2 linked regions of the Saccharomyces cerevisiae S288C genome follow. The protein of the gene in region 1 purifies or fractionates together with the protein of each later gene. This does not show direct contact. Each region holds a gene or a part of one and is shown in the gene's direction. Other genes may lie near its edges.

What was found. Proteins that work in one complex are often made in the same cells at the same time.
Region 2: the proteins of CRP1 (region 1) and OM14 purify together in Saccharomyces cerevisiae (affinity purification with mass spectrometry, with the first as the bait; one large-scale study listed by BioGRID). This does not show direct contact.

Annotation. Positions count from the first base shown.
Region 1 is NC_001140.6:385,363-392,197, forward strand, and holds CRP1 (Crp1p), read left to right. Parts: upstream 1-4,937; coding exon 4,938-6,335; downstream 6,336-6,835. Other genes in the region: DSE2 (Dse2p), read left to right, coding at 148-1,125; DNA-directed RNA polymerase core subunit RPC10, read left to right, coding at 1,871-2,083; DCD1 (deoxycytidine monophosphate deaminase), read right to left, coding at 2,426-3,364.
Region 2 is NC_001134.8:679,049-683,040, reverse strand, and holds OM14 (Om14p), read left to right. Parts: upstream 1-2,990; coding exon 2,991-3,001; intron 3,002-3,098; coding exon 3,099-3,492; downstream 3,493-3,992. Other genes in the region: SWC5 (Swc5p), read left to right, coding at 1-862; COQ21 (Coq21p), read right to left, coding at 2,479-2,679; glucan 1,3-alpha-glucosidase ROT2, read left to right, coding at 3,820-3,992.

The DNA of each region.
Region 1 (6,835 bases):
GGGTTTTAAGCTAACTCTAGTCATTCCTTACTACATTTTATTGTAACTCTTCAGTAGAGCTAACCACAGTCATTCCTTAATATTTTTTAACACAGATCTCTTTCACAGAGTAGAAATAAAGCCACTCCTTTAACAAATTACAAAGAAATGAAATTTAATTTTTCTACAATTTTCAATATCTTATTCTTTTTATTCACCTTAATTGAAGCCAACAGCAATGGGGAAACAGTCAAACTTATTACTTCTGATGGTATTGTTTACAGTTATGCTGTCTACACAAAGACTCTTGCGCCGGCAAGGGTTGTGGTTAAAACGATTTCATATACTACTACAAGGGTATATCCGATTACTTTAGCTAATTCCGTCGTTTCTTCCACTACTGAAAAGATAACAGAGGTTTCAACGGTGTCAGCTTCAGAACAAGTTAGTGCTACTCAAACAAACTCATTGGTTTCTACTTCTACTGTTTCCACTATCAGTCCAACGATTTCATCTGGTTCTTCAACATCCTCTAGCTCTACATACGATATCGAATCATCTCAAAGTATCGAATCGTCAGGTACATCTTCCGCTACAGCCGAACCATCTGCGTCTTCAGGTTTTCGTTTGACTTCTAGTTCTGCTTTTGTTTCATCTACTGCACCTTTCTCTTCCCAACTTTCTTCATCTTCATCTTCTGAAACATCATCCTCATCATTTTCAACATCATCATCATCTGCCCCTCTTTCCTTAACTTCTTCTTCTTCTTCTTCTTCTTCTTTCGCCACTATTATTACCTTGGCACCATCGAGCTCAAAAAGCGGAAACTCTCAACTAACTTTGGCGTCATCGTCTTCCACTTCCGCAGTTGAGTCATCCCAAACAGGGTCCACTATAGCAAGAACTACCTCTACACTGGTACCCTCTTCTAGCGTAGATACAACGTCTAGAGCAACGACATCCATGCCATTAGAATCGTCTTCTACGCAATCGATATCCGTCTCCAGCTCGGATGGCACTTGTTACGTTTTTTATGATGATGATGACTACTATAGTACTGTCTACTTAACTAACCCGTCTCAATCCGTTGATGCCGCCACCACTATAACTAGTACAAACACAATTTATGCTACGGTTACCATTTAGCGCTTAGGCATAATGGTGGTGCATTCTTTTCTATTTGTTTTCTCAGGCGTATTTTTTCCATTATTTTTTGTTAAAAATAGTAAAAAGACAGTATTATTTATTCATTTTTCCTCGTGTTGTTATAACGACTAAGTTTCCTAATTTCTTTATTTTGTTTTTTTCTCATGATCTTTTCATTTTGTAGTTTCAACTATTATATACAATGTGTATACTATAACTTAATTTTATTAGTTACCTCTTACTAAGGATACTGATTCTTCCCCACTCATTTCATGAATTCATCACAAGTCTTTAGTATTTTTCATATGGAAATTACATCACCTATATATATCAAAATGTTCCGGCGAGTACATTGTCAGAATCTACAGTTTTTCCTGATATGAGCAGTGATATGGAGAAAGAGACACTAAATAAGAACAAAATATTGCCGTAGATTTAATGATTCAATCATGTGTGTCAAATTTGTTCTCCATTGCATCTTCCTATTTGACATTTGTCTCATGACCACGACATTGTACATTACCAGGTAAGGCTACAATTAGCCTCACCGATGTAACGTTATATAACGCTGCGGTCGTAGAATATGATTTTTCTGAATTTTAATTTTTTTTTTTTTTTTTTTCATTTCTTTAACATCTAAAATAGATTTTAGAATCAGAAAAGTGAAGAGTATTCCACATCATCGACTTATTCTACCAACATTTAATAAGAACGTACCCAAGAATAAAAGTCCACAAGTATAACAATGTCTCGCGAAGGGTTCCAGATTCCAACAAATTTAGACGCCGCAGCTGCAGGTACTTCTCAAGCTAGAACGGCAACTTTGAAGTATATTTGTGCTGAATGTTCTAGTAAATTATCTTTATCCAGAACTGATGCAGTCCGTTGTAAGGACTGTGGTCATAGAATCCTGTTGAAGGCTAGGACTAAGAGATTGGTTCAATTTGAAGCTAGATGAATGGAGAGACTGAAAACCATAATGGGTTACCGGGGCAGAATAATACGAAATAAAGAACCTAGGTTTTCCAAGGTTTTTGCAATATATAAACTTGTGCTTGATTTAAGTTTATGCAGCACTTTTCTTCCAGCAAATTCTTTATGTTTTTTTAAGGGAAAACGTATATCACTTAGAGATTATATTAATGAAAAAAGGTGTATACAAATGTATAATAATAATAGTATATAAGAAAAGTATTCGCTATTTATAGTGATTTTAGTTTGTACAATGTACTGTATTTTTTTTAAATGTAGTATTTTATATATATGTTACATTAGTTCGAACTGAAAAGGAACTTATGAATTAAATCATCACAATTCTTGGTTCTTCCGTAAAGCTGAATTGCCGGACGGTTATTCCCGCATTCTTCAAGACCTTGAAACTTTCCTCGTCCATTCTATAACTTTGGCTATAAACTACTTCACTGATGCCTGTTTGAACAATCTTTACAGAACATGTTAAGCAAGGGCAAGTATCACAGTATAAGGTCGCATTTTGACCTACACGATCCCTGCCAGCTTCCAGTAGTGCATTCTCTTCTGCATGTAAGCATAAGCAAGTGTGCAGATTTCTAGAATCACCGTCATTGCAACGTGGGCAACCGCCATTGAAACAATTTGTTAAATGTCGAGGAGTCCCATTATAGCCAGTAGCAATCACTCTGCATTCTCTCACAATCACGCAACCAACTCTACGTTTCATGCAATTGGAACGAGATGCTGCTAGTGTGGCTAACTTCATAAAATAGCTATCCCAACTAGGCCTCATTAATGGAGCCATTTGTTTCTCTTTGTCATCGAGAATCTTTAATTGTGTGGTAATGTTATTAATCAAGCTCTGTCTCCTTCCTCTGCGGTCCTCATTAACTATTTTAAATCTCAAATGGGATTTCTCCCTTAATTTGATGCCTTCAGGCTGAAAGTCATGTTGATCAATGGCTTGTATTATTTGTTCTAATGATAAGCTTTCTGCTTGAGTCGTTTTCCTGTATAATGCTACCCTTGTAGTGACAGGAGCGTCGATAGAAAGATGAACAAAAAATGGTCTCTTTTCCAGTTTCTCCAGTAATGATAATTTTTCTAGGAATATAACTGAATTTTTTGTGTAATTTTTCGTAGCATAATCTAATATCTCCTCTGGATTATCTAGGTGATTGAGTAATTCAAAATGAAAATGATCAACCAACATGTTAATAACATCTTCGCATCCGCAAAATTTCGTACCACTTACACCAATTAACATAATCGTGTTATATTGATTAGTGTAGCATTCACACCTTTAATGTGCCAAAAAAAGATGTTGAATTCTATGGTAATGCAGAAGTTTCAATTCTCGAGATTGCCTACATCATCTCATAACTGCGTACCGCGCGTTCTTGCAAAGAACAAAAAAGTGAAAAAATTATAATGGGGCGAGCTGGGAATTGAACCCAGGGCCTCTCGCATGCTTTGTCTTCCTGTTTAGGCAGGAAGTCGCCCAAAGCGAGAATCATACCACTAGACCACACGCCCATGTATCTGTTGGTGTTCTAAATAAAGAATTAAACTATGTAGGCATAAAAAGAGACGGGAGCATCTTAAAGATGCAACTGGATGGAGAATGGCAAAATATGAAGAAGAAGGAAGGAAAAGAAATATTATTATGCGTAACTGTTGATTCCTTTTTGTGGATTTCTTGAGGAGAATGTCTTTTTGAAGAGTGGGTGAATTTTGAGATAATTGTTGGGATTCCATTTTTAATAAGGCAATAATATTAGGTATGTAGAATGTACTAGAAGTTCTCCTCGAGGATTTAGGAATCCATAAAAGGGAATCTGCAATTCTACACAATTCTATAAATATTATTATCATCATTTTATATGTTAATATTCATTGATCCTATTACATTATCAATCCTTGCGTTTCAGCTTCCACTAATTTAGATGACTATTTCTCATCATTTGCGTCATCTTCTAACACCGTATATGATAATATACTAGTAACGTAAATACTAGTTAGTAGATGATAGTTGATTTTTATTCCAACACTTTTATATATTCTGTATTTGATGTTATAGCTTTATCAATTACAGAATGCCAAAAATTATCAAATTATTCACCAATATCCCAAATTTTAATGCAACCGTTATGATCCGACTATTGATAAAGGAAATTCCTATTCTACATAATGTTACTGGTATTTCTTCTTCCGTTTTTTATGTCGTCATTCGTCATCCTATTGCATTATCAATCTTTGCGTTTCAGCTTCCATTAAATTATGAAGATTATTTTTCAATCTTAAAGTCATCTTCTTACACTGGATATAATAATATACTAGCAGTATGAATATTAGTCGATAGACGATAGTTGGTTCTATTTCGACGGGTAATATTCTACTAATACCAATGACACTATTAATTTACCTAACAGAAATTCTTCTTCAATTGACCCTAGCGTTTGCCTTATTATCAAGACACTGAAGGTAAAGTTGCCGATAAACTTTTTGGGTTCCACTGTGCACCTATTTCTATGCTTCAATAAGCAGTTCCAGGTAAGGTTTCACCATTTCAACCCAAGTAAATGCTATGTAGTTATAATATTAATTAATGTGTTCTACTGGTTTTTCTGTGCATAAAAAAGACGCTCTGACGCCATTTATCTTGGTGTGTTACCCGTTAGGAAAAGTGGCGTTGCTAAAATTGTTGAAACCCGATCTCATCGCCTGGTAAACAATACAAACAAGGATTTGAACAAGGTTTTATCATTTTCTGATACGTTTTTTGTACTTACAAAATAAAAGATACAAAAATCACTAAGAAAACTAATCTATCAATAAAAATGAGTAGTGAACTCATGTTCAACTATACTTTTAGCTGGCCTGCTGGTCCAAAAGATGTTATTTTAACAGGAACGTTTGATGACTGGAGGGGCACTTTACCCCTCGTGAAGACCGCCAAGGGAAATTTCGAAATTACTATGCCCGTGAAGCTAGCCAACAAGGATGATACGTTTCAGTTTAAGTTTATTGTGGATGGCGTTTGGTGCGTTAGTGATTCGTATAAAAAGGAGCATGTTAGTGAAGGAATCGAAAACAATTTCTTACAAATTACCGATTTAGTTGAAACGCAGGAAGTTGCCGGTGCCAGTAGAATCCCGGAGGCAGGTGGCCTATTATGTGGTAAACCGCCTCGTTCAGCAGGTCCTCCTTCTACAAGTAATAGAAAGAAAAACAAGCGTAACAATAAGAAAAGAAGATCTAAATTGAAGAAAAAGAGTACTAAGAACAACAAGAAGTCAAATGAAAGTTTAGACGATAATGAAGAAGAAGACGGGGTGACTGGAACTACTACTGAAGATGTTACTGGAACCTCTAGGGAAGAAACTCCATTGGCGGAGCCTACTAATGTTTCCAAAGAAGCTCCGGGCAATTTCCATATTCTGCCAATCGATCAAAGTGCAGACACAACTCAATCAAATGGTATAATTGGTGGACCAGGTCCTGTTCTTGTCCCAAACCCTGGTGAAATCAAGGAATTTACCGAAATTAGAGACGTTGATGCTAGGGAATTGAATGAAAGACTTAACAAAAAAGAAGAGGTTCCAGAACCCGTTGCTGGCCCTATTGTTGAATCATCAGTTACGGAAAAGAGTCCTGCTCTTCCACAAGCTGACGACCCGATTGTTGAGACCAAGGAAGTGGCTCATAATGTGCAGGAACTTACTCCTCAAGTGGAAGCGGTTACTCCGTTAATAAATGAGCCCGAACCATTACCAACTCCGGAAGCACAAATATCTATACCTGAGTCATCGAAAGTTGAACCAGTGGAGGGGTCTCTTCAATCTAAGTTGGTGGAGAAACGTGAGTCCACTGAAGGTGTATTAGACGGTTCCAAAAAAGTAGAAAATAAGGCAAAAAAAGATGAAGAGGTCTTTACATTAGACCCCATCGTTAACAAAGCTCCCAAGCTACCCTTGACTGACGAGCAAACAGCTGAAGGTAGAAAATCACCAGCAGTGTCAGAAGAAAAAGAAAAGAAAAAGAAGCAAGAAAAAGGCTCTAAAGAGGTCAAGAGGTCAGAAACCAGTAAAGAAAAAAAGCCTTCTGCCAAAGAGGTTAAGAAACAAACTGTAAAAGCCCCAAAGAAACAGACAGCTTCTCCTTTGTCTTCTTCGACAGAAGAGCCCAAGAAGAAGAAAACTGGTTTCTTCGGCAAATTGAAGAAGCTATTTAAGTGAATTATCTAAGGATTGGTCTCATGTTGCCGAATCATAGAAATATAAGAAAAAAATTAAAAAAAAAAAGAAAGAAAGTATAATACTAATATTGGCAATAATGCTAACACATTACTAATAATAGCAATAATATTAATAATAATAATAATAATAATAAATTATAATAATAGCAGTAATAAAAATATCAAATAATAATAATAGTAATAGTAGTAGTAGTAGTAGCAGTTGTAGTAATGATAATAATAATATAATAATAATATAATAATAGTATAATAATAGTATAAGTAGTTGTAGGTAAAAATCTTTGATTTATCTTATCTGGTTGCAATGCTTCTCCCCTCTGATGCCTAATATGTCTATCTTTATCCTATACCAATTGGCAGGGGAGCAATCATAATTTACATTAATATCGTCCACCATACCCTGAAATTCCAAAAGAGTTCGAGAAATTGGAAGGTACAGCATTTCATTTACTCACTTATTTGATCTTTTCTTTTGTTTTC
Region 2 (3,992 bases), on another chromosome or scaffold:
CGAGGACGGCTACATAGAAGAGGAGGACGAGGACTTCCAGCCTGAAAAAGATAAATTAGGTGGTGGTAGCGACGATAGTGATGCCAGCGATGGCGGTGACGACTATGATGACGGTGTGAACAGAGATAAGGGTAGAAATAAAGTGGACTATTCGCGTATAGAGAGCGAGAGCGGCGGACTGATCAAGACTAGAAGAGCTCGGCAAGCTGAGGAAGAATATGCGAAAACACATAAGTATGAATCGTTAACTGTTGAATCGATCCCTGCAAAAGTAAACAGCATCTGGGAGGAGCTACAGGAAGCTAGTAAGAACCGTCTTTTGAGCAGTTCAGGGAAAGTCGGCTCTGTTCTCGACGGTTCCAAGGAGGCTAGGTCGACAACGGCCGCGCAACAGGAGGACAAAATCCTCATCGAAAGAAACTACAAGTTTGCTGGTGAAACTGTCCATGAGAAAAAATGGGTTTCACGCAGCAGTGCGGAGGGTCAAGAATATCTAAACAGTTTGAAATTTAAGCAGCAGGCGCCTGCTGCTCCTGTTCAACTGGAAAAAGCAGTTAGGACCAAGTCCAATGAAAGCCGGCAACACTTGCGACGGCCACTGAAAAGGCCTCCATTGTTGGAGCAGATCATTTCTGGCGGGCTACGACCCAAGCTAACGACATTAGAAAAATCTCAGCTGGACTGGGCTAGTTATGTAGACCGTGCTGGACTTAACGACGAATTGGTGCTGCACAACAAGGATGGGTTCTTGGCCCGGCAAGAATTTCTGCAGCGGGTCGGGTCTGCAGAGGACGAGAGATACAAAGAATTGCGCCGGCAACAACTTGCTCAGCAGTTGCAGCAGGATAGCGAAGCTTCATAGACAAATATTACATGTATTAAATAACATGCTTTTCTGCTCAAATTTTTTTAACCGCCGAGGCCTGCACACTTTCACTACGTGTATAACGATGCTGCAGACAAAGTAATGGGGTGTATGGGTGTGGGTGGCAAAAAAAACCTAGCAACGCTCTATGTTTCTTTTCTTTTTTCTTTCTTTTTTTTTTTTTGCCGTTTCCGATGGGCCACTCGGTGAAAACATATAAAAAGGGCTCTACATTCATTTTTTCATCGATGAGTACTTTACTTGTTATCAGATTTATTCATTTTGTTTCTACTTGTTTTTTTTTTAAATCCCCACGAATCTCTTTGCCTTTTGGCTTAGATCAAGTGTAGTATCTGTTCTTTTCAGTGTAACAACTGAAATGACCTCAATGAGGCTCATTACCTTTTAATTTGTTACAATACACATTTTTTGGCACCCAAAATAATAAAATGGACGGGAAGAGACTTTTTAAGCAAGTTGTTTTCCGCTAATGTCAGGTCTCACTACTTTTTGCTGCTATTTTTCTTCGCTCATGGTTTCTTCATAAGGCGTTTTTATGATGGTTTTTCGAAATTGGTTTTTGAGACGACGGTTGCTCAAGGTTATTGTTTTTGTTTTCTTCTGGTTGTTTTCTATTTTCTTTTTTTTAGCTTTCTGTTTCTCCCTTAGTTTGGCTTTTTGCTTCATACTCTTCCCTGTCTTTCCGAGCCGTTTATGTCCAACGCGGGATTTGGTTTTTCTTTATCGATGGGAAGAAATGGTGCTATAGTAGGTTGGGAGATAATATTTATGGTATGGGGTGCTAGTGCGGATGGGGCGCTCTTATTGTTGATTTCTTCGCTCGTCTTCTTTTTCTGGTGGCGCTGCAAGAGGAAGTTTTTCGACTTTGTTATGATTTTTGGTTTGCAAGGAAAGGTGTCTTACGATTCTTTTTTTGATGTAATAGGATAAGCTTGCTTATCCCCCAAGTATCGGCCAAAGTTGTTGATTTTCCTTTTGAAGTGTCCTCGGTTTGAGGGGGTGTAGGGTGGGGTTGGTCTACAATAAGAGTGTTCCATTGTTAACGTGCTGGCGTCTTTTACTATATTTTTTTTCCCAGTTTATTTTGTGCTTATTTTCTCATTGAGGAGAAGGAGCTCTTCTCGCAGGATATAAATGGAGGTTTGCTAAAGGGGAGGAGATGTGTTTGTGAGAATACTGCTGAGAGAGTTCTGGAAGAGAAAAAAAGGAGGCAATGGAAGGCGTTTGCTGGGAAAAGAGAAGAGCCATGACTGCATCTGTTGTTTCAAGGCCAGTTTTATTAACCGCCTATGTCATAGAGGCGTTTTTTTTGGAGGGATTTGAAGAATGCCGGCGGCATCAAGAAACGGACTTGATGGTTGACGCCTGTTTTTAAAGTTAGAGACGTCGCGACCCTCGCACTTGTGGAGTCGTTCTTGACTTTTACTTTGGTCGCTTGATGTTTCTCTCGTCTTCCCGTTCGCTCTTTTATTTTTTTATTTTTTTTTTCCTTTGACTTCGCATGAATGAGTTCATTCATGAAGCGAAAGGAGAGATTCTATATACCACGCAACCAAATATGTAAGTATATAAAATATATGTATGTGTGTGCACTAATTGGCGGCATACTCTTTCTTGACCCGTTGTGATAGGGCCTTAGCTGCTTCCCATTGCCTGTCCCGAGTCCAGCGACTCAAGACGTTGGACGTGCGCACGTACTCACACATGGCCGAATTGGCCCTTACGAATGAGCTCTTGGCTACCCCTCTTGCTGCACTCGCCACACACCATAACTGGTATAATTCGTTTCTCATGCTAGTCTCTTTTTTTTTTTTTACTTGTTTCCTTTTCCTTTGTTGCTTATCCGCTTTCTCGTTCTCTCCTCTGTTCTTGCCTCAACTCCTCAAATCTCTGCTGTCCCACTTACGTTTTATTTTTTCACCGTCCCCTTTCCCTGCCCTACTACCCCGGGCCAGCGGCCAATGACGCCGCCGCTACCTCCTCTCCCGTTAATCGTCCCTGCGTATATAAAGTGTCGATCAATGTGCCCACTTCAACCGAAACCGCCGACGTAACCCTATTCCAACAATTAGAAACATAACATCTACCTCCAGCATCTCATAATATGTCTGCAACGTATGTACACTAATATCTGAAACGTATCGCCTAATCTTTTCTCCCGGTTCTCTTTTGACTAACGTATATCATCTATGACCATCTTTCTTTTCCCCAGTGCTAAACACGACAGTAACGCTAGCCCAAATTCTGACTCTGAAGACGGTCACCACCACAACAATAAGAAGGAATGCGCTATCGAATATCTGAAGGCACGGTTAAATAGTGCATCAGCAGTCGCTTGCGGCTACCTCCAAGCTTTTGTCAGTAAGACGCAAGACTTTGCCAAAGTATGCTTTTTAGAACTTCAGAATCCCGTTGTCTTGGTCAACTTGTTGCTGCATTCTTCAGTGGTATGTTATTTATGTAACGGGTATGCGAACCACAACGCCAGATTCTTGAAGGGGAAACCTAACTCTACAGTCTTAGCAACAACCGCCGGCGCTCTGGGTCTTTTGACGCTGGACGGTATAATTTCAAAGAAATACTACTCCAGATACGACAAGAAATAATAACATACTATTTAATAACATCCTTTCACACACTCACACACTCACACACTTTATATACATATATTTTTATAACTATTACTGCTGATTTATTTGTAAGGAAACGTGCTTTCCTCTTCATCGGTCAAGTGATAAGTTTCTATAATATAATAGCTTTTCTGTCTACTATCATTCTTTTTTCATTTCAAGTACCCTTAATTTGTTTTACCCGGACCACGACATTTTCTCACTACGGCACTTGAGAGCTATAACTCAATGAACATGTTGCTTGGAGTTATTTGATTGCTCTGCGTATCTTAAAATAGCGGTCTCGAATCAACCGTATGCAACATGGTCCTTTTGAAATGGCTCGTATGCCAATTGGTCTTCTTTACCGCTTTTTCGCATGCGTTTACCGACTATCTATTAAAGAAGTGTGCGCAATCTGGGTTTTGCCATAGAAACAGGGTTTATGCAGAAAATATTGCCAAATCTCATCACTGCTATTACAAAGTGGACGCCGA